Linked DNA regions of Saccharomyces cerevisiae S288C. The gene in region 4 interacts genetically with the main gene of each other region. Each region holds a gene or a part of one and is shown on either strand. Other genes may lie near its edges.

Evidence for each region.
Region 1: mutations in RPS6A (region 4) and ABD1 together harm fitness less than expected from each alone (positive genetic interaction), as found in Saccharomyces cerevisiae (2 studies listed by BioGRID).
Region 2: mutations in RPS6A (region 4) and KNS1 impair growth when combined (synthetic growth defect), as found in Saccharomyces cerevisiae (2 studies listed by BioGRID, with this or other methods).
Region 3: mutations in RPS6A (region 4) and DOM34 together harm fitness more than expected from each alone (negative genetic interaction), as found in Saccharomyces cerevisiae (3 studies listed by BioGRID, with this or other methods).

Annotation. Positions count from the first base shown.
Region 1 is NC_001134.8:688,337-696,091, reverse strand, and holds ABD1 (mRNA (guanine-N7)-methyltransferase), read left to right. Parts: upstream 1-4,398; coding exon 4,399-5,709; downstream 5,710-7,755. Other genes in the region: YBR238C (uncharacterized protein), read left to right, coding at 1-985; DEAD-box RNA helicase PRP5, read right to left, coding at 1,574-4,123; VHC1 (Vhc1p), read right to left, coding at 5,829-7,755. UniProt on the Saccharomyces cerevisiae protein: Responsible for methylating the 5'-cap structure of mRNAs.
Region 2 is NC_001144.5:101,256-109,710, reverse strand, and holds KNS1 (serine/threonine protein kinase KNS1), read left to right. Parts: upstream 1-1,811; coding exon 1,812-4,025; downstream 4,026-8,455. Other genes in the region: COX19 (Cox19p), read left to right, coding at 739-1,035; SPA2 (Spa2p), read right to left, coding at 4,364-8,455. UniProt on the Saccharomyces cerevisiae protein: Nonessential protein kinase.
Region 3 is NC_001146.8:622,664-630,448, forward strand, and holds DOM34 (ribosome dissociation factor DOM34), read left to right. Parts: upstream 1-4,792; coding exon 4,793-5,953; downstream 5,954-7,785. Other genes in the region: HRB1 (mRNA-binding protein), read left to right, coding at 252-281, 624-1,958; PET8 (Pet8p), read right to left, coding at 2,312-3,166; RLP7 (Rlp7p), read right to left, coding at 3,511-4,479; citrate (Si)-synthase CIT1, read right to left, coding at 6,959-7,785. UniProt on the Saccharomyces cerevisiae protein: Component of the Dom34-Hbs1 complex, a complex that recognizes stalled ribosomes and triggers the No-Go Decay (NGD) pathway.
Region 4 is NC_001148.4:374,589-382,114, forward strand, and holds RPS6A (40S ribosomal protein eS6 RPS6A), read right to left. Parts: upstream 3,808-7,526; coding exon 3,802-3,807; intron 3,408-3,801; coding exon 2,703-3,407; downstream 1-2,702. Other genes in the region: SSU1 (Ssu1p), read left to right, coding at 1-581; glutathione-disulfide reductase GLR1, read left to right, coding at 914-2,365; RLM1 (Rlm1p), read right to left, coding at 4,532-6,562; YPL088W (aldo-keto reductase superfamily protein), read left to right, coding at 7,377-7,526.

The DNA.
Region 1 (7,755 bases), on a different chromosome or scaffold from region 4:
TTTAAATGATGAAATGCCATACAAGATAGACTTGCAAGTTTCCTACGTGAAATCCTTTTTAAGAAACATATGGAGCCAAACCCGTGATTTCAACCACATCTATCAAATCTGGTACAAGTCTTCTTTACATTATGGTAGAAACGTCAACCACGGTATTTCTTCATCTTTGAATGACACTTTTTTCGACATTTTTTTTGAAAATTATGCTGTGGACAAGATGCAAGGTTTTCAAACTTTACAAAATATTATTCAAACTTACAACAACATCAAGCATATAGATGAACCTTTCTTTAACATTATCTTGGCTAAATGCACTGTCTGGCATGACCGCAGTATTTTAGAATACATCGATAAGAGTTACGAGGCGTACCACATTCCAAAAACAATAGTCGCTTATAGAATCTTATTAAAGTCTATGGGATCTGTCGATGATGCTTCGAATGCAGAAATTCTCCAAAGATGGATGGATTTAATCCGCAAATCAGATGAAATTGGTCAAAGATTTATTGCCAACGCAGATTGGGCGGCCTTAAGAGATGCTACTGTAACATGGACCCAAAATGATAGAGATTCCAAGAAAAGTAACATGAACAGCACTCAAATAAGCAGAACCGCAACTCCTTCGCCATCCTTAACTCCAATGGATACTCCAGCACCAGAGCATTTGTTCAACAATCCTCAAAATCCAATGGACTTCTACTCTCATCCAGCATTGCAAGCAGCAACTGCTTCTGGTGCATTTGATGAATTTGCTGCGGAGGCTGCTTCTTCTTCCATACCAGTTGACGGCAGAATGGTTTTGTATTTGAAAATTGTTAAACGTTACTCTCCATATTGCCGTGATTCCAGACAACTAGCCAGATTAACAACAGGGACCGCTGTCAAATATTCCGTTTTGCAAGAAGTTTTGAACCAATTCCAAACTTTAATCGTTAACGATATTCCTATTCCTGAATTACATAATTTGAAGCCAACGTGTGTTTAAAGTTAATATCCTTCACTTTTCACCTTCTTTCTCTACAGAACAAAAAAAGAAAGAAGAGTAACAATTTCAAATTTATATTCCCTATGAATTGATGTGATAAACTTACCATTATTAATATTATTATTCGATTGTCAGTTTTTCCCTTCCTTATTTTTATCGTTATTTCATTATTTTTTATTTGTCATATCACATCTCAAATCAACTAAAAAACTATTATTATATTCTTCAAGCCTACCATTTTCTTGATAAATTTTTTTGAAGTTACTTTTATTCCATGTTTTGTTTTTATTTGCTTTTCTACTTTTATTTTCCCCTCTTAATTTTTTTTTAAAGCATTTACCTTTCATTATATCCTATGAATTCTCATTGTTTCTTTCCCACTTTTTTAAATTCCATTTTATTCGAATCGATAAAAATTTCAAGATTTTTTTCTACATCATATATTATATATTATTTTGTTTTTATTTTTCCTAATAATTCTCTTTTTTTTTTTTTATTATGATTGAATATGCTTTAAATTACCACCCTAAAAATTTCAGAACTAACTACGAAAGTATATAGCACCACGAGTGAGTTAAATTCTAAAAACTAGTATTTAGTACTCTTCAAAGACAAGCTTGCAGCCTTTACGACCCCCTCTTTAACTTTTTGCTCCAGCAATTCTATACTTAATTGTATGTCTTTCTCATCTTGGCCTTCGATCAATAAGTATAGTTTAGGCTCATCGTTTTCATTCTTTGGTTCCTTCCCTTCAGGGTAAAATTTACCCTTGTTAGTAATACTACATCCGGTTTCATGCTTGATAAATAATAAGGTTGTATTCTTTGTAGCCTCCCATCTTACAATCTGGGGTAAATCATTAATATAAACCTTGGCGTAAAAGATGATCGACCCGTCTGTAGACTCTTTGAATAGTTCATAATTGAGTCTCGGAATAAGCGCAGAAGACTCAGACACACTGTCATGCCCTTCGCGTGGATTGCTGATTTTCTTTTCCAAGTCATCGCTCCTCTTATCATTCTTTTTGAGCTCCAAATCTTTATTTTGAGCTTCCTCTCTTTTACTTTTGATATTTTCCAGTCCTTTGCCGCCGAACCCTTTCGACAACCTAAACTTACCCTTTTTCATACCGGATTCAAACTTGGCACTCATTTCCTGAAGTTCTTTTGCTTGCAGAGGGTCTAAAGCTTTTATTTCTTCATCGCGCATTGCCTTGCTCAAGATATAAGCACCTGACAGTTCATCATGCAATAGAAGAGTAATAGCAGTACCGGAGCGACTACCTCTGGCAGTTCTTCCAGTAGTATGAACATATTGCGCGAAAGTTTTGACGGCGTTATAGATAATAACCAACGACACTTCGGGAACATTTAAACCTCTTGAGAGAACCTCTGTACAGAGAAGAATACTGTTCTTTTCTCGTTTGAACTTTTCTAAGTTCATAAGCCTTTCTTGATATGGCTTACCTGCATGAATAGCACAGGTCACAATTCCAGCATTTAACAGCTTTTTTGAAATGAAGTCGCAAATATTCTGACTTGATACAAATATAATGGCTTTAGCATCAACTTCTTCAACATCGCTTGACTGTCCGTCATTTTCACTTTGAACCTCGTCAAAAAATTCACTGCGCTCATGGATAAGCTGCACCAGATTGTCAAATTTTTCATCTTCTGAATGGCATATTCTAAACTTTTGTTTTACGTTTTCATTAACCATTCCCTTTGAATTAATCGTAATAGATATTGGGGAATGCAAAACTCTTACGGCAAAACTGCGTAGTTTGTTCGGAAAAGTTGCACTAAATAGAACACACTGTTTATCCGGTCGAACAGTTTTCATGATTTGCGTTATTTGAGGTTCAAAACCTAAATCGAACAGCCTGTCTGCCTCATCCATTACTACGAACGTTATTCTTTTAGTACTAAGTAATTTCCCATCATTTAGTGTTAATATATCAATAAATCGTCCCGGTGTGGCAACAACAATCTCAGTGCCTCTTTTAAGATCAGTAATCTGCTTTTTCATTTCAGAACCTCCTGTACAGCATACTGATCTAATGGATGTATCTGCTTCTGTGAATTTAGTAACTTCTTCATGTATTTGTAAAGCTAGCTCTCTAGTTGGAGCCAGAATTAAACCCATGGGCCCTGTTTCATGTTTTGATAATGGCCGTTGAGCTTTTACTTGTCTTAGCAATGGTAAAAGATAGGAGATGGTCTTGCCGGAGCCAGTTTTTGATATTCCTATAACATCACGACCTGACATAATAGCGGGAAGAGCCTGGGATTGAATAGGCGTTAAGGAGCCAAAGTGCAACTTTTCTGTAATTAAAACCATGGTGTCCGTTGATAGTCCCAGTTGAGACCACTTTGTGACTGGTTTGGGGCAACCTGTTCCCTTTATTTTGATATTATCCAGACTAAGTCTAAGCTCCTCAACTTCCATCTCTGACATCGAGGAAACTGTTTCAGATTCTATATAAAAATTTTTTTGGAACGGCTCAAGCTCTTCTGGAGAGTAATAAATTTGCTTTACACGTTTTTTTGCTTTGAGTTTAGCAATTTTCGCTATATTAGAATTATCCGTATTATCTTCAACATCCTCATCGTCGGTTCCTCCAAGTTCAAACAATTGATCCTCTACATCAAGAATGTCGCCTCTGTCGTACATGCCTTTACTATTACTCATTTTCTCCTCCTTCAATGACGTCATAAACTCATCCAGTGGATCTTTTTCATTATCATGCTCTGGAGCTTTTTGAATGTGCTCCTTCGATCTAAAAGAAACTCCTATTTCAGAATCATCGTCATCACTGAAGTCGAAGGATATTTTCTTCTTTACCTTACTTCTCTTCGACTTTTTCTTCGAAGGCTTAACCGATACAGGTTCGTCAGATTTCCTAAATTCATTTTTTCTCTTCCGAAGCTCTTCTTTTACACGTTCCTGTCTTTCCGTAAACTTTTCAGTAGTCTGCTTACCTTCTAAACTGTTAGTAACAATGTCATTGCGTGAAGTTTGATGCTCTTTCTGAGCATCAAATTGTGCTTTTTTTTGTTTCCATTTTGCTAGTTTTTTCCTCCTTTCCTCCAATAAAGACTCCCTATTAATATTTTGCTTCGAATCAATAGTTTCCATACCTCAAATAAACCCAAGGCAACAGCGTTATGATTTCCCTTCTCGAATTATTTGGCGCTGTATTATATTAGAAAGAACTCTAATACCTTTAGTTTGGTCCATTGCTCTAAATGACTTTAATTAGTTTCATCTAATCCGGGTAATGGTAAATCAAGATATTTCAACATAAATTAGAAGATTTCTTATTTTAATCCTTTACATGTGAGACACTTTTCCGATTAATGTGACAACTACTACAACGTGGAGTCGTCCATTATCCGTCTTAGAAAAGTAGAATGTCAACCAAACCAGAGAAGCCAATATGGATGTCACAAGAAGACTATGACCGTCAGTACGGCTCAATTACTGGTGATGAATCGTCCACAGTCTCAAAAAAAGACTCCAAAGTTACTGCCAATGCGCCTGGTGATGGTAATGGATCATTACCAGTTTTGCAAAGCAGCTCTATCCTTACTTCTAAGGTGTCTGATCTACCCATTGAGGCAGAATCCGGGTTTAAAATCCAAAAGAGAAGACATGAAAGGTATGATCAAGAGGAAAGATTACGCAAACAGCGTGCTCAAAAATTGAGAGAAGAGCAACTAAAGAGACATGAAATAGAGATGACTGCAAATAGATCCATAAATGTTGACCAGATTGTCCGAGAGCACTATAATGAACGTACAATAATCGCCAATCGCGCTAAGAGGAATCTATCGCCTATTATTAAGCTTCGTAATTTTAACAATGCGATTAAGTATATGTTAATTGACAAATATACAAAACCTGGAGATGTCGTTTTAGAACTCGGATGTGGCAAAGGTGGTGATTTAAGAAAATATGGTGCTGCAGGTATTTCACAGTTTATTGGTATTGACATTTCCAATGCCTCTATCCAAGAAGCTCATAAGAGATACCGGTCCATGAGAAATTTGGACTACCAAGTTGTGCTAATTACTGGGGATTGCTTTGGCGAATCATTAGGTGTTGCAGTAGAGCCCTTCCCAGACTGTAGATTTCCGTGTGATATCGTTTCGACGCAATTTTGCTTGCATTATGCTTTTGAGACCGAAGAAAAAGCAAGGAGAGCTTTACTGAATGTCGCCAAATCACTCAAAATTGGTGGTCACTTTTTTGGCACGATACCAGATTCAGAATTCATTCGTTATAAACTGAATAAATTTCCCAAAGAAGTGGAAAAGCCATCTTGGGGAAACTCCATTTATAAAGTGACATTTGAGAATAATTCATACCAAAAGAATGATTATGAGTTCACATCGCCTTATGGTCAAATGTATACTTATTGGCTAGAAGATGCTATAGATAATGTTCCTGAATATGTTGTGCCATTCGAAACCTTAAGAAGTTTGGCTGATGAATACGGTTTGGAACTAGTATCGCAAATGCCTTTTAATAAATTTTTTGTCCAAGAAATTCCCAAATGGATTGAGAGGTTTTCGCCTAAAATGAGGGAAGGTTTACAAAGATCTGATGGTAGATATGGTGTTGAAGGGGATGAAAAGGAAGCGGCATCATATTTCTATACCATGTTTGCATTCCGTAAGGTAAAACAGTATATCGAACCGGAAAGCGTAAAGCCCAACTGAAATAAAAATGAATAGAAACAATAACCCTACTATAAAGCATCTGTATTTCGGCCGTATTACAAGACTTCTATATGTAGTAAATAAGTTCTGGGGAAATGCATAACGATATATGTGTTATTCTATAATGCAGTAGTTACTGTCATGGTTTGCGAATTGATTAACATGCATGGAGGTAAGCCCTCCAACCAAATATCCAAGTCCTCGACATATTGTAAACTTGCATCGTGATCTTCATGTGTTCCAAGAGCTGGAACTGGCAAGGTTGAAAAAATTAAATCCGAACTCTTTGACATTTGTGTCATCACATCATTCAGAACCAAATGTTGAGCAGTGCTGGGAAGATCATTGAAACCTAAATTTTGCATCGCTGTGACTAAACTATCTTTTGAACAACAAGGTGATAATTCGGGAAGAACCGGTTTCTTTAATTTGTTGCCGTTGCCAATACCGCTCCCAGTACCGTTCCCATTCGAAAGGTCAGGTTCGGCAATTGGGATCAGTGTCGGCTGTTCACCCGTGCCATCTTCCACGACTCTCGTCCTCGGCAAAGTATTACTCGAGAAAACGGGTCTTAACGACTGTGTTGACACATCGCTTTGTAAATTCTTTACGAGTAAATTTGTTCTGTCGGAACCGGTCTTCGATTTGGTCGTTAAGTCCTTACCTACTGAAATATTAGTCGATGCCGAGAAGGCATCACGAATTGACGTAAGATCTGTATCCAAATCGGAGTCCTCACTCTCGCATGGGGTATCAATGCGGTTAGTTGGCATTCTCGTATTCATTGTAAATGAGACACCCAATTTCTGAACCCCAGACGTATATTTTCTTGATTGTGTAAATTGCTTTGCTATCGTTTGAGGTTCAATAGTGGAAAACCTCCGCTTCGGTTTTAATGTATCACGAGCTTCAACCAAATCTTTCCACCATTCATTATCGGCCAATTTCGAGTTGACATAATCAAACACGATTGGGTCTCCCTTGACAATTGTGTTGTATACTCTGAATTGATCTAAAGATACTACCAAAACCTCTGCGTCAATTCTTAGAACCTGTAATAGCTTTTTCATTCGTTGAGTTTCGTTCGTTCTATGATATTCTTGTTCCACAAATAAAATAACTCGAAGCGAATGTGTGCGCTTCCATTCAGGAACAGTAACCAAAATGGCAGCTAATTGTAGAATCAGTGTATACGTATCAAAGTTAGTAGTGATAGCCGCAGGCTGGTCACCCTTTGCCTCAACTTTTCCGCACATTTGGATGGGATAAAGATCTATAGTTTTTTTTGGAAAGCAGCTGTCCCTTTTGTTCGGTATCTCTAAATTTTTGAATCCATGCGCTATGGCAATATTGGATTGCATCAGTGATAGATCTTCTACAATTTGAACCCATTGTTGTACATTAACTTTGGTTTCATTTTTACACTCATCCGTAGGCAATGGAACATTGATTTTGACATCAGAGCATGTACTACGTGGCACTGTAGCTTTTATTTCCACCTGTTTCTGAAGGTTATTTTGGCTGCGACTTTGTGGGATGTGCTTTCTATAACTTTCGAGGTCAAAAAAACCGACAACAGTAATGTTTGGTTTCATACCTCCAAGCCCGGAACCAATAAAAACATTCCTAATTCCCCATATAAGGGAGGGACCAGTCCCAACTTGGACAAAAGCCTTTATTGCTGCCATGTCTCTGATCTTCATCCAAGCTTTCTGCTGAGTTTTTAATTCATTTAGTTGCTTCGGAAAATCCGCAGTTACTGCAACATGGCCTAAAATATACAAACCACCTTTTTTCAAATGATTGCAAAACCTTATTAAGTTCCAGCTCGTCCTTGGATTATCTACAAACAGCAATATTTGAGGCCTCCAGTATTTAATATTGTCTTGACGTAGGCGAAGCAAATACTTTCTCACTTGATGATATATTAAACTTTGAGACACATCACCCCAAGACTTCGGTGGTGAAAAATAATGAATGAATAAAAATAGCAAAATCATAGCCAAAAACAAGACAGACGCTGAGATGCCATCAACTATTAACATC
Region 2 (8,455 bases), on a different chromosome or scaffold from region 4:
GCTATGAGCAGTCCGACAATTCGGAAACCATAGCTCGCCATAATTTACACGCTCTATGCACATATTAAAATACATTTAAACAGTACTTACAGCGCATCTGGGATGGTTCGGTTATGTACCAGGACAATATTAAGTTGACGCGTCAGTTGAGTAGTAATCGTCCTAGTATTTTCGCCTACCATGCCGCTTTTTGCGTTTTTGACCGCCTCTGGTCCCTTATACAATCCACAGGCAAAAAAAAATTACATAACAAGATTACTCTTCAAGAAACCTGGAAAATATTTTTTTGGGCAGTTTTTTAAGACGATAATAAGTTCTATGCCTCATTTACGCACCAGCGGTTCTATTACCAAGCTGACTCTTATCGGCGATGAGTATGATCTAAGGCTCGGGCCGCCCATTTTGCTGCTCCCGGTCAAGTAGCACGCTCCCTCTTTTCTTATCGCAGGCTTTGCCCACTACCCGATCTCTAAAGCGCCCATTTAACCTTTTTTAAAACAACAGCTTAAAAGCTTTTTGGATAAAAAGCTTTTATTACTACATCTCTGCATCTTCTCTCCGGGGTCTAAGAAAAGGGCTCAAATTCGCGGAGTTGAGAAACGAGAAAATCCAAATAAAGCGAACAAGAGGGAAAAAAATTTTTTCTTCCGTTCTTTCCTTCTTCTATACTTCAAGAAAACAAGCAAACGCACCCACTACACACAAAGTATCTTTTACGAAACATAACACAAGAATCCAATGTCAGGGAACCCAGGAAGCTCGCTGAGCGCATTGAGACCTACTCCACCCGAGAGAGGTTCGTTCCCGCTAGACCACGACGGCGAATGCACCAAGTACATGCAAGAGTATCTCAAATGTATGCAGCTTGTGCAGAACGAAAATGCAATGAATTGTAGACTACTGGCAAAGGACTACCTGCGGTGCAGGATGGACCACCAATTGATGGACTACGATGAATGGTCACATTTAGGTCTTCCTGAGGATGCTCCAGGCAACAACGGTAAAACCATAAAAGACGCCACCGATAATAAATAGCCGCCCACATCGGAATATCGAATAAAAGCTAGACGCTGTTGGTAATATCATACTTTCTACAACAACTGGTAAAGAACTTCTTTTTTTGAAATAGCCGCCGATATGGCGCGAAGTGACCCTGCTCGAGGCTGTGCGGGCCCAGGCCCGTCCGTTTCTTTTTTTTCTAGGGGGCGGCAAACGGGCCAAAGGGGTCAGCGTGATTGGGCGGTTTTCCACAAAGCTTTAGTCTCTCTCCTCACGCCTTGGCTTAGTGAGTGGCCGGAGTTAAAGTTGCGAGGAAACACACAGCGAAGGGAAAAAGCTTTGGCGTGCTTAACGATATGGCTTATGGCCCGGTTGCAATGCTGGTTTAGTTTCCGATTACGATTTTCGATTTGAATCCTGGCTCCACATCTCCCACCCTCTTTTTTTATCTCTAGCATCGTGCGTTGGATTTTATATTATGAAGTTCCTATATTAGAATAAAGTTTAGTATTTACTTCCCAGATCTACCGGATTTACAAAGTATTGTTACCTCACCACCAAGTGAAAGGAAACAGTGCAGTAACTCCTCGTGCTTACGCTAACTAAATAGATATTATATTCACGAAATACTGCGCCAGATAGCAAGCAAACCCAAAAAAAAAAAAGAAAAAGAAAAAGGAAACAAAGTGGGAGACAGAAAAAGAGTGAAAGAAACATAGTATTTACCAAGTCGAAGATTTAGCACAACAAAGACTAATCTACACGCATACTGCTCTTCTTCATTATTGCTTTATCTTCCGCGTACCTTAGTTATGTCACAGAATATTCAAATTGGCACTAGAAAACGTTCAAGAGCAAATATGAATAATTCCACTACTACGGGCCCTGCTAACAATACAAGCTCTAACAAGACCTTTTTGGATAATTTCGAAGAAACGCGCACAAACAAGCTGCTGGACGAGATGTTTGCTCGGCAAAATTCTTTTCTAACAGACAATCTGAGGAACAGTCTAGACCTGAATCAAGCAGACAATCCGCTCCGTCCTCGGCAACACCAACACCAGTTGTTCTTGGACAATGAAAATGCCATAGAACTAGACGAGGAGCCGCGTATCATTAACACCACAATCAATAACAGTAATAATCATAACAGTAGTCGAGTGGACGAGGATGCTGACGATGACATCATTTTTATCAAAGAGCAGCCAATTCAGTTTTCGTCACCTTTGATTCTGCCTAGTAGCAGCAGTATCAATAACAACAATAATATTGTTACTTCAAATAATCCAGGGTGCGGTACCGCAGCTACAAGCAATAGTACGTATATCACGACACCAAAGAAATTCAAGAAGCAAAGAACCATCTCACTGCCTCAGTTGCCTCTATCGAAGCTGAGCTACCAATCGAACTATTTTAATGTTCCTGATCAAACCAACGCTATCGTGCCAAGAGTAACGCAAACTGAAAATGAGCTGTTGCATCTAACGGGGTCGTGTGCAAAGACTCTGGAGGGCAACAAGGCAGTGAATCTCACGATTGCTCACAGCACTTCTCCCTTTTCCAACCCACCAGCACAAATAGCTTCCCTGCCTCAATCCAACCTCAAGAAACAAATTGGTTCTTCACTACGGAAATTTACATCAAACGGCTCTTCAGAAAGCGCATCATCCAATAAATCAAATTTCAAAACGGACAAAGACGGTCACTACGTTTACCAGGAAAACGACATATTTGGCAGTGGCGGCCGCTTTGTTGTGAAGGACCTATTGGGCCAAGGCACGTTTGGTAAAGTACTTAAATGCATCGATAACAAGTATGAACCTAATTACGTGGCTGTAAAAGTGATAAGGGCTGTAGATAGATATAGAGAAGCCGCCAAAACAGAACTAAGAATTCTACAGACTATCCTGAATAATGACCCTCAAGGTCAGTTCCAGTGCCTCTTGCTAAGGGAGTGCTTCGATTACAAAAATCACATTTGTTTGGTGACAGATCTATACGGCAGGTCCATTTACGATTTTATGTGCTCCAACGGCATTGCCAGGTTCCCCGGCTCTCATATTCAGGCCATTGCCAGACAGCTAATCAGATCTGTCTGCTTCTTGCACGATTTGGGCATAATACACACGGATTTGAAACCAGAAAATATCCTGATTTGTGACGAAACCCATATTGCTCAAAAATTGCCTTTGAAAACCGTACAGTCGCTAAGCAAGAGACGCCGTGAAGCCAGTAAGGGGAAGCGCAAAATCTTGAAAAATCCAGAAATCAAAATCATTGATTTCGGTAGCGCAATTTTCCATTACGAATATCATCCTCCTGTAATATCCACTCGTCACTATAGAGCCCCGGAAATTGTCCTTGGCTTGGGCTGGTCGTTCCCCTGCGACATTTGGTCCATCGCGTGTGTCCTAGTAGAACTGGTTATTGGCGAATCTCTTTACCCCATTCATGAAAATCTAGAACATATGGCTATGATGCAACGAATCAATGGAACCCCTTTCCCCACAGACATTATTGATAAGATGTTTTACAAATCTAAACATAAATTGGGCAACTCTCCATCAGACCTAAATTCAACGGTGATAAAGCATTTCGACAGAAAAACTTTAAGCTTACAATGGCCTGAAAAAAATAAACGCGGAGATACCATAACCACCGAAAAGTCAATGAAAAGGGTCTTGCAGTCATGTGATCGCTTAGATATTTACATCTCAAAGGTCTTGAAACAGGATTACGGCGATAGCTTAAGCATCAATTGGAATCTACCGCCGGAGAAAAACTGGTCTTTGATAAATTCGAAATTGGCATGGAAAAGACAAACACATTCCTCTTCTTCCTCAACTACTGATGAACTCGATAAGGAAACTTTCTTGTTTTGGTACTGGTTCATCGATCTACTCAGGAAAATGTTTGAGTTCGACCCAACAAAAAGGATTACCGCAAAGGACGCTCTGGACCATGAATGGTTTAATCTGGGCATACTGGATGATGGTATTGCAACTTATAATAATACCCAAGGATAGTGGGTGTTCTCGTTCTACTTTTCTCTTCTTTTTTTCACATCTTTTACTAGTTCCGTTTTTTTTTTTTTTAACTCTTCTTTTTCATTTTCCGGTTTTTAATAATATTTCTTTAAATTTCTATATTCAATAAAAATTCTTCCTACATATATATCTTCATATTCAAACATTTATAGTATTTTTACTAATTTTTTGTTGTTTTAATATACTATAATAATATTATTATTACTGCTACTACTATTATTATTATTATTATAATTATTATTATTATATGTCATACATAATACATTCTATTGATTGTCTTTGTCTTCCTTTTCTTTCTCCTCTAGATACTACTAACTTTACTTCAACTTCGAATTCAAATAATTTATTTCGTCCTTCAAACTTGCCTCTTCTACAGTTTTTACCAGCTCCTTTGTACATTTGGCAACATCAAACGCAATCCCTGCCAACCGCTGTTTGAAGTTTTTGTCAGCATAATCTTGATCGCTCTTTTCCTTCGCTAGTATTCCATCGCCAGTTAATTGGCACAAAATTGTCATTCTACGCGAACAGTCTCTTAGACTTTGCACCACCCAATCACCGTGTTTCTTCAAATTGGCATTTCTGCTTTGCTCCATTGATATGCTAGTAGCGTCCACCATTTGACCTATGACTTGGTTGATTGCATTCGATTCTCCCCTCAAATTACCCTTCGTCACCTGTGGTTTCTTGATCGATGTCAAAAGCGATTGAATCGTGGATATGACGTCCATTGTTTGATGTTCTAAATACAATAGTAACTCTGATAGTGTATTATCCGGATTTTCAATGTCAAATGTATCCACATCAAAATCACTGTCTTCTTCCTCTTCATCGTCATCTTCACTTTCCTCTTCCTCACTTCTGTTTTGTTCTTGTTCTTGTTCTTCATGTTTCATGGGAACAAATTGATAGCTAGAATCATCATCATCACTATAATGTTTCTCGTCATGTGCCGTAGTTTCTCCAGTATTTTTTATCTTTATGTGGTTGTTAATGCCGCCGTTCGACTCTGAGTTCTCGTATTGAACCGGTTTACTGTTTAAAAATGGTGAGTGGCTCGTCTTTTTTACCTGTGAATTTTCAGTTGGATTTACGAAAGCATGCTTTCTTTCAGTGATGTGTATTTGGGCATCAGCTCTTTTTCCATTAACATTATTTGATTCATCAATATCTTCCTCGGAAGTATGCACTTCTGCTTCGCTTTTTGCTTTACGATCAACAGGTATTTTATGATAATCAATTTTTCCAGTTTTCGTATATGCACCAGTGATCTGGATATTGTGGTTCACTCTATCAAAATCTTCGTCCTCCTCCTCTCGTTTGATCGTACGGTTTAAGTCGGCGTCTCTCCAAGAAGTATTGGCATCCTTGTTTGTTGGTTCCACAGAAGTGATAGTCTCAGTATGTGGTTTATTAGTTTCTCGTAACTCGACATTTTTCTTTATCGGTGCTAGAGGTGAATTTTTTGCCAATTCAGGAGAAACAATTTGGCTATTCGGTTCTGGGAGCCCGCTCTTTTTCAGTGTAGCTGAAGATGGAGTCTTTTCGACTGATTTTGGTGATCCAGTTCTATTAACAGCCTTTGGAAAGACAATCTTTTTTAGTACTTTTGGGGGGTCAACATTCTCTATCGGCTCTGAGGAGGCAATGTCTCTCCTTATTTCTTGAGGTTCAGACACAGTATTTCCCTTTAAATTTGGGGATTCCATTTTCACTGTCATGTTTGAGGGGATAGTATTGCCTACTGCCTCCAAGGACTCGCTTTCCCTTACCATTCTTGGAGATTCAATTTTGTCAACTTCTCCTGATGACGCCAACTTCCTAGCCGCTTCCGGGGACTTGATTGATTCTTGAGCTGTAATTTTTCCTGTCATACCCAAAGACTTAATCTGCTCTTTCATGCCCGGAGATTCGACCCTACTATCTGCTTCTGGGCCTACAACTTTTCCTGCCATATTCAAAGATTTAATCTGTCCTGTCATGCCCGGAGATTCGACCCTACTATCTGATTCTGGGCCTACAGCCTTTCCTGTCATACCCAAAGACTTGACCTTCTGCGTCATATCCGGAGATTCGACATTACCAAGTGGTTCTTGAAAATTTTTCTTCCTGACTGATTCTACAGATGCGCCCTTCTCTGGCATTTCTGAAGGCTCAACATCCTCTACTAATCTCTTAGGCAGCGAACTACTTGGCATTTCTGAAGACATTTCAGATGACGTGATTTCCTTTATCGATTCAGGAGATTCAATCTTCACGGACTCCGGTGACTCATGTAAATCAAGTTCCACTATATTTGCAGGTAGTTTGCTGTCATTATTTTTTTCAATTTTTGAACCTTCTCTCTTCATTGTTTGTTTCAATGCCATATAGGTAAAATCATCATCATCGTCTGCATCGTCATTTTCGTTACCATCAGAGCTTGAATCATCTGTGGACACATCATTCATTGAAGTGATAAATTTATTGGATAGTTTTGGTTTTGAATCCATTTCTTCTTTTGCTATAGGATTTTCCTTTGGTGATGATTTCTTTTCGGAACTTTGCTCAAATTGTTTCAGTTTATCAGCAATGCTAGAAGTTGGTTTAACAGAGATTTCATTTGTTATGTCACTCCTTTTATTATCCTCTTCTGTATTCTCGATTTTAATATTGGGAACTTGATTCTCTGACGGTGGAATAACAGTACCGATTTTGGCTTGTGGAGGTAGTGTTAGTTTAGGAATTTCGGAAATATTGCTACTTGCAGAATTGGAGGCCGATGTTACTGCCTTTATGGGCGAGACATATTTATCATTATCCTCTTTATGGGAGCTATTCTTAGCAATTGATGAATCAATCATTAAACTAAATAGCCCCGTTCCTGAAGGTTTTCTTGAGGTTGTTGGAACTCCATTAGACGATGACGGTCTTATGATCGGACTGTTAATTGCCTTTTGTGTAATTTTCAATGGCTTGACTGGAGATTCTTCTTCCTCCACATCATTCAAGAAAGATGCTGGTTTTCTTGGGTTTATAAACCCCTTCTTCATATTTATTCCAGAAGTCGAGGGGAAAGTTGGCGTCATTGGGGTGGTAGCAGTTGGTGAAGAATATTCTAATACCTGTCGGTTACCTTCATTAGAGGTGGTGCTCTCACCATTTGAATCGGATTTTATTTTCGCTGAATCAATTAGATTACACATGGCAAAACAAACCTCTGAAACAGCAGCTTGCACAGTTATTTTCGGAATTAATACGGGACCGTAAACAGAGAAATATCTTATCGATGTGATCGCATGCGATAATGATGCCTTCAGTAAAATGACCTGATCTTTGTACTGTAATAGGTCGGCCGATAGTAATAGCTGGGAGATTAGGTTCGATAACTGGGATAATATTTGAAATAACTCTTCGCCAATTTGATGGGAAATTGCCGTGGAGTCGCCTATGGGTACTGCGGAAAGCCTAGTAGTAAATTGAATTATCAAGTTGTTAGCGTTTAAGATGTATTGAGCTGGAATGAGCCCATCGGCAGAAGAGTACTTGCTAATAAAACCGTCAGTGATTTTCAAATCATTATGGTTGTCATTCTTTTTTTGATGCAGTTCGAATTCTGAAATTTTCTGCTTCAAATTTTCATTCTCAATTGATAATTCACCGATTTGAGAGTTTAATGACAGCAATTCTTTCTGAAAACTTTCATCAATGGTGTAGTTAATCTTTAAGTTCTTTTCCTTTTCTTTTTCCTCCTTCTCTTCCTTCTTCTCCTTTTCCTTCTCGCTGGTTAAAGATGCTAACTTAGCATTCAAATCTTCAATTTGCAAATGTAAGTCGCTGTTTAAATCAGTCAGTTCTTTAACCTTGTCTTCCATCTCTGAGTTAGGGTTATTGTTCTCAGCCCGTTGTACTTCAGGGCTCTTCAACTGTTCGGGACCCTTTTCGTTATCGATATCTTTATCTACCTTGATAATTGGAGAATCATTAACGTCCCAGTAATTTTTATGCGTCGTTGTTGGAGTCCTTGCCATTGATGTGATATCACGAGCGAGCACTTGGGAGTCAGGCAGATCAGAATCTGTAACTATGGGGTTTAGAGCAGGTTTAGCCTCTTTCTTTTCATCCATGCTTGTTTGTTTTCCCTCCGGTTCATTTGGCTTCTCCTTTACTTGCTCCTCTTCTTCTTCCTCAGAAGACCAATCGATAGATGCCATCTTAGGAATGACCAAAGAAGGTTGTACGGAGACGTTTGGAGCTACTTGAGTCACAGAGGAAGAATTTGTGGATGTTCTTGCAGTATCATCGCTGTCTTTGCTGACCTCTTGTTTCATCGGCTGCGGTAATGGGGGCCGTGGAGCATCCAAATCCTTGTCGAACCCTCTTCTCTTGATCTCAAAAAGGATATCGTCCAACAAATCATTAAATCGAGT
Region 3 (7,785 bases), on a different chromosome or scaffold from region 4:
ATCTTTTTAGTACCTATTCAACCAAACAATTGAACTTGAACACCAAACTCTAGCCATCCTTATCCTCTTCTGGTCACTACATATACCTCAATTTACGTCTTTCCTTGGGTCGTTTCAAATGACTCTCTTTGTTTAGCGAGGGAAATGAAAAAGTAGAGTACTGGCTGAAAAATTTCATAATTATGTTTGCTCATGAGTTCGAAAACAGTTTGAATGAGCAGATAGAACGCCAAATATTAAGTTAACAGGATATGTCTGATCAAGAACGAGGTTCAGAAAACGTATGTTTCATTGATAAGGGAGGTGAAGAAAAGTTTGTAAAATGAGACTTTATGAGGTCATTGGAATTAAATAGACATCAACGAATGGTGAGTCACCATTTAATGCTGCCTTCAAAACGCTTGCTTCAATGTGATTCCACTGGTTAAAGGGGGTTTTTTGAATGCATTGCTAATGTTTATCTACTGGCTATGAAAGTGAGAATATCAATTATAAATAAAACCCTGATTTTCTACCTGCCATGCTATAATGTACAGTTTATTCCAACTTTGAAACGCAATGACTTATTGGTCTCTCTCATTATGAAATTTAGTTACTTTTACTAATGTTATTCATTGTTGTAGAATAATCGAAGTAGATCGAGGTCGAGATCACCTGTTCGTCGTCGGATGAGTGATGATCATGGTTATGAAAGAGACAACCATTTGTCCCGGAGGTCAGGTAATTATAACGGTAGGCGTAAGTTCGCAGATACGTACAGAGGAAGCAGAGATAGAGGAGAATATAGAGGAGGTAGAGAAAGGTCTGATTACAGAGAAAGAGAAAGGTTCAATAACAGAGATAATCCTAGATCTAGAGACCGTTACGATGATAGGCGCAGAGGAAGAGATGTGACTGGTCGTTATGGGAACAGACGTGATGACTATCCTAGAAGCTTTAGGAGTAGACACAATACACGTGATGACAGTAGGAGAGGCGGTTTTGGTAGTAGTGGAGCAAGAGGTGATTACGGTCCTTTGTTGGCACGTGAATTGGATAGTACATACGAAGAAAAGGTCAATAGAAACTATTCCAATAGTATATTCGTGGGTAATTTAACATATGACAGCACCCCCGAAGATCTCACTGAGTTTTTTTCACAGATAGGAAAAGTAGTCCGCGCGGATATAATTACATCAAGAGGGCACCACAGAGGTATGGGTACAGTAGAGTTCACTAATTCGGATGATGTTGACAGGGCCATCCGCCAGTACGATGGGGCCTTCTTCATGGATCGTAAAATCTTCGTCAGGCAAGATAATCCACCACCGTCAAACAATATCAAGGAAAGGAAAGCACTCGATAGAGGAGAGCTTAGACATAACCGAAAAACACATGAAGTTATTGTAAAAAATTTACCTGCTTCCGTTAATTGGCAGGCTTTGAAAGACATATTCAAGGAATGTGGGAATGTCGCACACGCTGATGTGGAATTGGATGGCGATGGAGTATCCACTGGATCTGGTACGGTGTCCTTTTATGATATTAAAGATCTGCATAGAGCGATTGAGAAATACAACGGTTATAGTATAGAGGGTAACGTCTTGGATGTCAAGTCTAAGGAAAGCGTACATAACCACAGTGATGGAGACGATGTTGATATCCCAATGGATGATTCTCCCGTTAACGAAGAAGCTCGAAAATTTACCGAAAACGTTGTCGGTGGAGGTGAAAGAAATAGACTCATATATTGCAGTAATTTGCCATTTTCAACTGCAAAAAGTGATCTTTACGACCTTTTCGAGACAATCGGAAAGGTTAACAATGCTGAATTAAGGTATGATTCCAAAGGGGCACCAACTGGAATAGCTGTCGTTGAATACGATAACGTCGATGATGCAGATGTTTGTATTGAAAGATTGAATAATTATAACTATGGGGGTTGTGATTTGGATATATCGTACGCTAAACGCCTCTAGAACTACTCTCGATCTATATACTTTCTCACCTATTGGATCTGCGACAAGTATTTATTCATTCTTGACTTATTTCCAGGCTTTTTAACTTTATAATGTCATTGTGTATACGTATAATCTGAAAAAATTTCGAAGACTTTGAAGAAGACTGTGAAAAGAGTCTGATTTTTCCAATACAGTGAAAATGGGTTTAACAAATATCCAAAAAAGTACTTTGAACAGATATCGTAAATAGACGACTTTTTTATATGAATAACAAAAAATAAACAACAGACAAGAGGCCTCAGAAGGCTTACGTAAAGTACGTAAACGATCTACCTCTTACAACTGGTAGTTGCTTTTGCTCTATGTTTTCATTACGCTCTCATTTCTCCAGCCGTTGGGAAACTTTTCGATAATAACGAATGAACAGTTTCATACATGCCTAGGAAGATAGCACCACCTGCACTGATCCACATTGTCCGGGGCCCCACTCCACTGAAAAATACAGCAGGACCTTCCTCTCTGTAAATCCTAATAATAACGCTTCCAAGTGAGGCGGTTGTTTTGTTGAGCATTAATCTGGTTTTCAAGAAATCTAATGGTGTCGTTGTAGCTGCTGCGATCCCACCCGCAATAGAACCGCAGATAGCCCCTTTCCATGGCTCCACTTGACTTTGGCCATTGGCTTTTGCCCAAGTCTTTTTTAGATACTCGTATAAAGGAAACTGTATACAAGTAAACGGTATTTCTCTCATAATGGTGGTAGACCACCCTCTATAAAGATTTTTCCTTAAACCTTCCTTATTGTCATTTCGTAGAATTGACTGTAAAGTCTGCCAGGAAGAATTGGTAGAGTGAACTTGCGTCCTTTGCTTAACGACTTCTGCGGGAACTCGAACAAGACAAGCACAAATTTCACCAATGGAAGAGGAAAGCATGTGCGTTGTCGTATCAATCAATTGCTCAGATCCCTGTGAGTAAAGTTTGCTGATATATGGCCTTGATTTTACTTTCATATAATCATAACTAATAAAGAAAAGTGAAGCACCTGGCGCCGATGCTACAACAGCGCTTCCCAAACCACGATATATGCCTTTGTATCCTCCATTAGCAAAGAATCCACCCTTAGCTTGAAGCCTGGTTTTAATTGTGTCTATAGGGAAAAAAACCAAATCCGTAGAGGTACCAGCAGCGGCGCCACTTAGCAAGGAAAGAAAAAAAGTATTCATAGCAAACTTTTCAAAGCGAATTTTAGTTCATCGGTGTGTCTAAACATATAAAATCGCCAAACAATTTACAACAAGTGGAGCTTTAATGATCTCATATATTCTCGAGGGTGCACCCCACTGCAAATGTATTTATATACAAAACAGCGCTCAGTAAGCGAGGAAAAAAAGAGGCGCCCGTGCTTTTGCCGATACATAAACTAAAAACCAATAAACTTGCCAAAATACGTATATTCTTCAATCCATGAGGCACCACTAATTATATGCAAAAGCTCAATATCTGCTCCTTCAATGGCATTAGATAACTAACAACCTATGTACTATACAATTTTAAAATACTCTCTTAATTAATTCAACTTGGCTAATAAAGAGTCAATGTCAACTTCGATAACTGGTGCTGTAGCTGCATTTGAAAATTGACGAGTTCTTGATTCAGCCTCCCGCTGTTTTATTTTCCTTAGCCTATTCAAAGAACCAAATCCAGATACTTCTCTATTCAACTTGAATGGTTGTAAGAAGAAGTTACAAACAGAAAAAGACTCACCCATAGTGGCAATCTCATGAATAATATCTTCAACACAAATTATTCCATGATCTCCTAATTGCTCCTCGACAATATTGTTGTCATTAAGAACTATTTCGTGAGGTTCAGCCTCATTCTCACCCTTATAGATTATTCTACCTCTCTTTTGAATCAAGGAACGGATAGAAGATAAAGAAGGCTTGCCAATCACTACGTATGGCGCAATAACCTTGAGCAACGGATATACGTTTTTGGTCAATTTGACGAAAACACCAGTATTAGTTTCAACTAATCTTAGCAAAGACAAAATCTTAAATGCTTTGTTTGGAATATTTACAGCAAGCGGACCTCTTACTCTGACAATGAAAAGTAAAGCAGGTTTGCCATCGTAAGTAGTCTTTTCTCTGATTAAACCATCGTCTTCTTCTTCTTCAGTCTCCTCCAAGTCGACAGAGTTCTCTTCGGCGCCATTAGCTTTTTCTGTTATTTTCAGAATAAAATCTTTCCCAGATGCAATATGCTGCGTTTCATTCTTTGCCTTCTTATCTTCTAATATAGACACTCTTTTAATTCTTTCCTTTTCCCTAGAGGTAGCCAAAGTCTTTGCAACTATACTTTCAGCTCTGACAAATTTGTTCTTATTACTTCTCTTTTTTTTGATTTGTTCTTCCCTCTTTTTCTTAGCTAATTCTTGTCTTTCGATTCTAGTTCTATCAGCATTTCTTCTTTTCCTCAAAAGAATTTCTGGATTAGAATTAAGAGTTTGCGCTTTACTGTCTTGAGTTGAAGACATTGTGACTTGTATATCTTATTCTTTTTCCCTGTGGCAGCCTCTTCTTTCTAGGAACTTAATAACGAAAGTACCAAACAACTTAGACTTTTCTCATCTCATCGCTTCCCAGCTTTTTTTAAGCAGAGCTGAAAAAAATTTTCTTTTTACCAAAAATCCGTACTGCGTGATGAAAGTGTACATACATTATTCAATATTCACCTAGTTTTGTATATTAATGTAAAATGTAATTTAATGAAGATCCCAAAAAATTAAGCATTCGTTGCTGCATCGTTGTCATTTTGTTCAATTATCGCATTCCTATCATAGCAAAAATATGAAGGTTATTAGTCTGAAAAAGGATTCTTTTAACAAAGGAGGAGCAGTGATTACTCTTTTACCGGAGGACAAGGAAGATCTGTTTACTGTTTATCAAATAGTAGACAAAGATGACGAGTTGATATTCAAGAAAAAATTCACCTCTAAACTTGATGAAGCTGGTAAGAAAAAAAGTACAGATTTGGTCAAGTTGAAGATTAAAGTAATATCCGAGGATTTTGATATGAAGGATGAATATTTGAAATATAAAGGTGTTACTGTTACAGATGAAAGTGGAGCTAGTAATGTTGACATACCTGTCGGCAAATATTTGAGCTTTACCCTTGACTACGTGTATCCCTTTACTATCATAAAACAAAACTTTAATAAATTCATGCAAAAGCTCTTAAATGAAGCCTGTAATATCGAGTATAAATCAGACACCGCGGCGGTCGTTTTACAGGAAGGGATCGCCCATGTTTGTTTAGTGACATCCTCCTCTACTATTTTAAAACAAAAAATTGAATATAGTATGCCAAAAAAGAAAAGGACTACTGATGTACTGAAGTTTGATGAAAAAACTGAGAAATTTTATAAAGCAATTTACAGTGCAATGAAGAAAGATTTGAATTTTGATAAATTAAAGACTATTATTCTTTGCTCTCCAGGTTTCTACGCTAAGATATTAATGGACAAAATTTTCCAGTATGCCGAAGAGGAACACAATAAGAAAATACTCGATAACAAAGGAATGTTCTTTATAGCCCACTGCTCCACGGGCTACTTACAGGGCATTAATGAAGTTTTGAAAAATCCACTATATGCTTCAAAGCTGCAAGATACTAAATACTCCAAAGAAATCATGGTGATGGATGAATTTTTGTTGCATTTAAACAAGGATGATGATAAAGCTTGGTATGGTGAAAAAGAGGTAGTTAAAGCGGCTGAGTATGGCGCAATTAGTTATTTACTGTTAACAGATAAAGTTTTGCATTCAGACAATATTGCACAAAGAGAGGAATATTTGAAACTGATGGACTCCGTAGAGAGCAATGGAGGAAAAGCATTGGTATTAAGTACTTTGCATTCTCTTGGAGAAGAACTTGATCAATTGACGGGTATAGCCTGTATTCTAAAATACCCGCTCCCCGATCTTGATGAAGACGATGGTGAGGAGTAGATTTACTATGTAAGAAAAAAGTAATGTACACATAAAATTTGCAACCCTATAATAAATCGGATTATTCTCTTTACTTCTTCCCTATAAGCAAGTAGATGTGAAGCCGCAATTAATTGAGTTGTTGTGAAATGGTTCTAGTTAGTCACGTGCAGCTTTTTAAAAATATTTTAAAACATTTTAAAAAATATACATTTTTTTATTATTTTTTTATATATTAATGTTAAAATTTATTTATGTATTTGTCTTCCGAAAAGTAAAATAACGTTCAAATTTGGTATTTAAGGATATCTGCGTTTAGGCGCCTAGCAAAAAAATGCCGAACTAAGAAATTATATTAATGTGGTATAAGTTACTGTTTACTAAAAGTGCCCCAAACGGCGCTGGACTGATAAGAATGAATACGGATTAGACAGCAGGTTTATGCTACCCTGCTCCTAGTTTTATGTGATTAAACTCAAAACCTTGCTGGTAGAAATATAAAACACTGCTTTTAATTAGTATAAAAGTGACATTTATCTTGAGGTAAGAACAGAAGAAAAAAAGGAAAAAGAGAAAATTTTATGAGATTGCTTTTTTCACATGACCATATTATATTCGCTTTATCAACTTTTTAGTGTATCTTCTACTCTAGGACAGATAAAGATGCATTAACCTTGTCATTTTGCTTCTTCTGCAGGTTCATATACATATAAACGTTAGTTACACCTTGACGTAGTATATCGACTACAGGCTAGATTTTACTGCTAAATCAGCGCGCCAGCCCACCACAATTCGATTTGAAAGCGCTTTGCAGGAATTTAAGAGCATTTTGTTTTCTATTCATTGATATCATTTGCCAAGTATATAACATAACCGGTAGGCATAGGGGACTCAAAGCGTAAAAATCATGAAGTCATAGCCATTTCCTTATGTAATATATATTTATATAAATTATAAACTACTCATTCGTATATGAAAATACGTGTTTGAATAGTCGCATACCCTGAATCAAAAATCAAATTTTCCTTAGTTCTTACTTTCGATTTTCTTTACCAACTCCTTGTATTTTTCGGTGGAGAATGATTTTGGCCTTTCGATTGGAGCACCAACAGCCCTATCGATGATTAATTGGGGTAACACACCAATAGCTCTGGCAACACCAAACAATACAGTGTAGAACGAAGCCTCAGTTAGACCATAGTATTGCAATAAAACACCGGAATGTGAATCAACATTTGGCCATGGGTTCTTAGTTTTACCATGCTTAGTTAAAACCCCTGGGGCAACTTCATAAATGGTGGAGACCAACTTAAATAACTCGTAATCTGGGAAATGTTTCAATGCGAATTCACGTTGAGCCGTATAACGAGGATCAGTTTTTCTCAAAACCGCATGGCCATAACCAGGAACAACTCTCCCTGCGTTCAAAGTATCCCACAAGTACTTTTCAATTGTTTCTTTTGAATAGTCACCTTTCACTTCTTCTCTCAATTTAAATAGCCATTCTAAAACTTCTTGATTGGCACGACCATGTAATGGGCCAGCTAAACCATTCAAACCAGCGGCCAAAGATAAGTATGGCGAAGATAAGGCAGAACCCACTAAATGTGTAGTATGGGCAGAAACGTTACCACCTTCATGATCAGAATGAATAGTTAAATATAGTCTCATTAAGTCAATAAAATCCTTGTTTTCGTAGCCCAAAAGTTGGGCCAAATTTTTACCATAGTCAGCATTAGGATCGGTTGAAGTAATTTTACCATCCTTGAACACATTACGATAAATTTTGGAAGCAATAACAGGTAATTTACCCAGCAGATCTAACGAATCTTCAAATGTATAGCTCCAATATT
Region 4 (7,526 bases):
GTTTTGGAGTCTTATTGCTTACAGATAATATAAAAAAATATGCGGGCAAATATTACCCAACAGATAACATTACAAGAGAACAAGAGATATTGACTATTGCAGTTCCATGGTGTTTCAAAATTCTAGGCATGGTTTCTGCTATGGCATTGCTCGCTATGGGCTATTTTTTCACCGTGATTTCTGTCGTTTCAATCCTGTCGTACTACAATAAAAAAGAGATTGAAAACGAGACAGGAAAAGTGAAGAGAGTTTATACCTTCCACAAAGGTTTTTGGGGGATGACTTTCCCGATGGGTACTATGTCTTTAGGAAACGAAGAGTTATATGTGCAGTATAACCAGTACGTTCCCTTATATGCATTTAGAGTCCTAGGAACCATATACGGCGGTGTTTGCGTTTGTTGGTCAATTCTATGCCTTTTATGCACATTGCATGAGTATTCTAAAAAGATGCTGCATGCTGCCCGTAAATCTTCATTATTTTCAGAGTCAGGTACGGAAAAGACGACAGTTTCTCCGTATAACAGCATTGAAAGCGTGGAAGAATCAAACTCGGCTCTAGATTTTACGCGTTTAGCATAAAATTGTTGGTTTTATACGTACATAATTGGCAAGCATTTCATGTAGGAGTCTCAATAGATAGTTTAATTCATTTGCACGGCGCTTTGCTGCTTTTGCTTCTTCACGTTGGTTTTCACTATGCCTGATATTTTTTGACGTCACTTAGTAAGCACGACCCTTGTCAATTTTTCGAGGATTTCGGAGCTTTCCATTTGGAATCTACTATTAAAATCAGTCTAAAAAAGTATAAGAAACACTTCTGGTTTTTCTCATGCGCTTCTCACTCTCAGTATATTTTGCTGCTTTCCTTCATATGTATATATATCTATTTACATATTAGTTTACAGAACTTTATGCTTTCTGCAACCAAACAAACATTTAGAAGTCTACAGATAAGAACTATGTCCACGAACACCAAGCATTACGATTACCTCGTCATCGGGGGTGGCTCAGGGGGTGTTGCTTCCGCAAGAAGAGCTGCATCTTATGGTGCGAAGACATTACTAGTTGAAGCTAAGGCTCTTGGTGGTACCTGTGTTAACGTGGGTTGTGTTCCGAAGAAAGTCATGTGGTATGCTTCTGACCTCGCTACTAGAGTATCCCATGCAAATGAATATGGATTATATCAGAATCTTCCATTAGATAAAGAGCATTTGACTTTTAATTGGCCAGAATTTAAGCAGAAAAGGGATGCTTATGTCCATAGGTTGAACGGTATATACCAGAAGAATTTAGAAAAAGAAAAAGTGGATGTTGTATTTGGATGGGCTAGATTCAATAAGGACGGTAATGTTGAAGTTCAGAAAAGGGATAATACTACTGAAGTTTACTCCGCTAACCATATTTTAGTTGCGACCGGTGGAAAGGCTATTTTCCCCGAAAACATTCCAGGTTTCGAATTAGGTACTGATTCTGATGGGTTCTTTAGATTGGAAGAACAACCTAAGAAAGTTGTTGTTGTTGGCGCTGGTTATATTGGTATTGAGCTAGCAGGTGTGTTCCATGGGCTGGGATCCGAAACGCACTTGGTAATTAGAGGTGAAACTGTCTTGAGAAAATTTGATGAATGCATCCAGAACACTATTACTGACCATTACGTAAAGGAAGGCATCAACGTTCATAAACTATCCAAAATTGTTAAGGTGGAGAAAAATGTAGAAACTGACAAACTGAAAATACATATGAATGACTCAAAGTCCATCGATGACGTTGACGAATTAATTTGGACAATTGGACGTAAATCCCATCTAGGTATGGGTTCAGAAAATGTAGGTATAAAGCTGAACTCTCATGACCAAATAATTGCTGATGAATATCAGAACACCAATGTTCCAAACATTTATTCTCTAGGTGACGTTGTTGGAAAAGTTGAATTGACACCTGTCGCTATTGCAGCGGGCAGAAAGCTGTCTAATAGACTGTTTGGTCCAGAGAAATTCCGTAATGACAAACTAGATTACGAGAACGTCCCCAGCGTAATTTTCTCACATCCTGAAGCCGGTTCCATTGGTATTTCTGAGAAGGAAGCCATTGAAAAGTACGGTAAGGAGAATATAAAGGTCTACAATTCCAAATTTACCGCCATGTACTATGCTATGTTGAGTGAGAAATCACCCACAAGATATAAAATTGTTTGTGCGGGACCAAATGAAAAGGTTGTCGGTCTGCACATTGTTGGTGATTCCTCTGCAGAAATCTTGCAAGGGTTCGGTGTTGCTATAAAGATGGGTGCCACTAAGGCTGATTTCGATAATTGTGTTGCTATTCATCCGACTAGCGCAGAAGAATTGGTTACTATGAGATGAAGCAACGAAACTAGACGTCCAATCTGCTGTTGCTATACTGGACTTTTGTACTCTTGTAAACAATCTTATATAGCATCCTGAAATACGTAGTAATTTTGTCATTTCTGTTCAAGGACAAGGGTTCCTTTTTTTTTCAGACTATTAGCTACTGTGGACTCGCTTGGATATTCAGTTGAGGATACATTCCGACTCTCGTTTACAATACATATGATTATTTTTCTTTTTGTTAATTATATAAAAAATAAAGTTATTTGATTTTAAGCTTAAAAATACACAAAATACAGAATAAGAAAGGAGTTTTTGAACAAAAGAATTTATCTTTTACTGCTTTCTAACTTTAAGCCTTCAAAGAAGAAGCTCTTCTCTTTCTGATTTCAGCCTTCTCAGCCTTTCTTTCAGACAATCTCTTAGCCAACAATTGAGCGTATTCGGCAGCAGCTTCTCTTTGAGCTTGAGCGTTTCTGACCTTCAAAGCTCTTTGGTGTCTCTTTCTTTGCAATCTTTGAGGAGTAACCAATCTTTGGATCTTTGGAGCCTTGGTGTAAGTCTTTTCACCCTTGGTGACTTCTCTTCTGATGACGAAATCACGAACGTCATCTTCCTTGGACAAACCGAAGAACTTTCTGATGTTGTTAGCTCTCTTTGGACCCAATCTCTTTGGAACAGTAGTGTCAGTTAGACCTTCCAATTCTTGCTCACCCTTCTTGACAATGACCAAAGCCAAGACAGCCAAATCTGGACCAACAATGGCACCTCTGACGGACTTTCTCTTTCTTTCACCATCACGTCTTGGTCTGTAACAAGAAACGTTCTTGGTCAACAACAACTTGATTCTAGTTGGCAACAAAACACCTTGCTTCATTGGGAAACCTTGTTTGTCGTTACCACCAGAGATCTTGAAGACGTAACCCTTGAATTCGTCACCAACGGCTTCACCATCGACTTCTTGACCGATTCTCTTGTCGAAGAAAACACGAATACGGTGTTCATCATCAATTTCGAAGGTCTTTTGAGACCCGTTAACTGGGTAAGAAATGTTCAACTATTTTAAATTTTCAACAGGTTATTAAGAAAATTTGTTAGTATACTATTGCAAAATTAATGTTTGAATAGGGTGAAGTTTATTACTCTAGAGAAATTATTAAGTGGAAGATGAAAAAGCTTGTCTTTTATTGACTATACTCCAAGTATATGAACTGCTTCAATTTCACGGTTTGTAGTAACAGTATATGTAAACCCGCTCTGTTTGTTTAAAAATAACGCCACAAACGCATCAATTAGTATATGGTAGTCTTCCTGCTTCTTTCCATAAAAAATTTCTAAAATCTTTACGACGTCTGGTTCTGTTTAGTTCTTTCTCACTTTCAAACTTTCATGCCATTTTTCCACATATAAAGTTCTCTGTTGCCCCTCAATAATAGTATCATAAATCATACCTTCATGATGTATAGTCTGTCTTCACTCTTTTGTCACTTCTCTTAAGCAAATATAAAAATTCAATGACGAATAAGCATTAACCACTTTATCCTTGGTAACACTGTATATGAAATTTCAAAGAAACTGCAGCATCATGATGTTCCTAGACGTCGGTACTGGAATTCCCACCCAGTAGACTTACCTAGGTAGCGGCATTCCTCCAACGCTTACCAGGAGAGATAACTTTCCCGCTAGAATCGATAGAGGAGCGTGGAATTACGCCAATCTTCCAAGTGGGAACGGGCAGAGTGTCCAGTGGCTTCCTGCCTACAGAATGCACGGCCCCAGTGGGATTGGTGCAATCGCGCACGTTCCAACTTTCCGATGCTCCGGCGCGTCGATGACAATTTTACACATGAAAAACGAACTATGTAAAAATAGTTGAAATGTATGGGTTCAATGAGAACTCGAATGTACGGATGTTTTCTCTGAATGAACCTCTTGTCTTCTTCCGGCTTCTGCTTACATCAAACTCCAGGCCAGGCGGCAATTCATTTTAGTTGCTAATGCACAAAAGAGTACTTAAATACTATCATTATTCAGAAAATGCAATTGAGTTTTTCGTTTTTCTTCCTTGTTTGGGTTATTCACTACGTAAATATGTGCATTTACAATAATATAAATATAAATTTTTTAAATGAAAAGAAGTTTCTTATGCTTGGAATATTCATACTGGTCAAATTTTTTGGTTTATATTTTGCTTGAATTTTTTTCTCCTGAAATATCAGTCGAAAAATTAAAGAATTTAGTGCCTAGTGGTGTTTGAGCAGTATTTATGTATGGAGTCAGCCCGGTATTTCCATTATATGCGGTGGCAGCAGCATCATATGTACTTGAGTTGGACTGATTGTTCGAGTCACCATCGGTAGTATGTTCTGAAATAGCAGCTCCATTTACGGGTGCATCTTCATTATTACTATAGTAACTGTTATTGCTATTGTTACTGTTATTGTCGTTGCCGTTGTTGCTGTTGTTGTTGCTGCTGTTGTTGTTGTTATTGTTGTTGTTGTTGTTAGTGTTGTTAGTGCTGCTGATATTGCTGGAGTTGCCGTTGTTTACGGCCGTCTGTACGGGAGGGAAAGTACCAGGATTGTTTGTGTTTCCCGGCTTGGCACTGTTGGGTCCCATTGACCAGTCTGGAAACATCGATATAGAAGAAACATTTGGAGAATTACTCATCAAATCATGTACGAACTTCGATGGCAGTGAACCAGTTGGAGGGCCATTGCTGGTTTCAGGGCCGGAAAAAGTTGAAGGGGGGCGTCCGGTTAATGTTGTAGTTAATGGTACTGTTTGGCTCTGTTTTTTGAAAGACATTTGTTGGTATTGCTGGGTTTGTCTTTGAGCTAAAAAAGATGTATTTTGTTGGAAAGGTCCGCCAGGAATATTCGATGGTTGCAAGGGAGTGGCAATGTATGGCTGTGTTGCAGAAAAAAGAGGTGAAGACCCACTTCCGAAAGGATAAGGGTGATTGTTATTGTTACTGCCATTACCATTGTTAGAACCGTTAGGCGCATTTGCATTTGGCAATTTTATTACCATTCTGCCATTATTACCTTTTTGGAGAGTTAAGGGGCCTGAGGCAGATGCGGATAGTGGAGAAATTTTGCTAGACCTACTTGTTTTGTTTTCTTTCATTATCTGCGAAGAGCCCATACTATTGCCGTTGGCCGATGTGGAGGAGGCAGAGGAGGGTTCACTTGGAATAGCGGAATTACTGCTGAAATTGTTGTTCGGAATTCTCACACGAAGTACCGGTCTGGCGGACAATTTCCTTCTTGCTTTGACAGTCTGCTGAATAGAGTCTTCCAAAGAATTAGATGGTGACTGAGTGTAGTTGCTGTTGTCATTATTATTGCTGCCACTATTGTTAATTTTGTGCTCCTGTTTAGGGGTCCTTGAGGATGCATTTGTAAATGGCTTACTGAACTTGTTCGGTGAAATGGAAATGGGTGGAGGACGACCATTAAAGGAAGAGTTTTGAAAGCTTGGTAATTTTGGAAAATCCATCGTGGAAGGAGAAGATGAACTGGATGAAGGCTGGTTAAGATTGTACATGCTACTATGGTATGGTCTCGATATATTTTGCTGCTGTTGCTGTTGCGGAGTTCTACTTATTTGCAAAGGATCCGGTTTCAATCTTTTCAAATGTTGTAAAGGCGGCAGCGCGTTCTCAGGATGACGTTTATTTTGCTCACTACCATCCATCTTTGAAATGAGTGCGGTCGGGGATAACAACTTCATGTGTGCACTCGGTATATTTTTATCAGAGGCTTTTTTATTCGAATGCATATTTGAATTCCTCTCAAAATTGCCATGATCATCGTCGTCCTCATCATTGTTCTCATCATCATCATTTTCTGACTGGTTCATTCCTTTAACATTTGATTTCGAAGGCTTATTTGACATAGACGACCTGAGTAGGTCTTGATTTATGTTAACGGATGCACTTTTGTGAAAGTCTCCATAATCGGAAGGATCTTTCACTTCGTGAAGCAAGTTTTTGTCATTTTGGTAGTGATAGATTAAATCATTCGTATCCACAGAGGAAAACTCATAGAACGTGTTATTGGACCCCAGTATAATGACGGCTATGTCTACTTGACAAAGAACGGATAGTTCATGGGCCTTCTTAAAAAGGCCAGCTTTACGTTTTATAAACGTGACAGCCCTATTTCTGTCATCAGAAATTCTCTGGATTTCAATCTTCCGTCTACCCATGTTGTATCTATAGTATAGTTTTGCGACACTTTAATATTTAAGTTTTTTTCACGCTTCAGCCTGTTTGCTCCGGGGGATATTAACCTCACAACGTGATAGAAACCTTGAAAAAAAAAAAGAATAATTCTGCTTGCCAGCTTTCAATTACTTTAACGAGTCAAAAGTTGAGTTGGCTATCAGGAGTAGGCAGTTCTAATTGAATCAGTCGTTGAACACTTTAGAACAGGCTCGCTTCTTTCTTACGTTTCTTTTTGTCTGTCCTTTAATTATTATTGTTCAGAGGAAGATCGAGCTGTTTCTATTATTAGCTTTCATCTCTTCCGTTTTATTTTTATCAGAAATCTGAAGTAAATTTTTTTCTTTCTTTCTGCGGCTTGGCATTCATCACCCGGTGATGCTGCGCCGTTAAGAGAGCCCAATAATGATAAGACGATTTCTGCATTTAATATACGACTGAGACAGACTTCGTCACCGTGGAAGTATTTTTTGCGAACGTGGAAGTATTTCACCCACGTATGGCAGGCAAGAACGCATTTTCAATAACGTTATTTCCACGGAAAAATGTGATTAGTGTAGTAGGTTAGGAACGGGAGATAACTCGGCCGCTTGGTTTGAATTTGTTTCCCTTCGATTTTGTTTTCATTGCTTGAGTAAAAGAAGCTAAGCTAACATCTGCCTTATTCTTCTCAGCCTTTTCGTATATATATATATATATATATATATATTAGGACCCAGAGAACAAGGTATCATATATTAATTGTCTTGCCAACTATGTAATTTGGCTGTTACGGAAGACCCACATCAGGCGGCAGAAATGGTTTTAGTTAAGCAGGTAAGACTCGGTAACTCAGGTCTTAAGATATCACCGATAGTGATAGGATGTATGTCATACGGGTCCAAGAAATGGGCGGACTGGGTCATAGAGGACAAGACCCAAATTTTCAAGATTATGAAGCATTGTTAC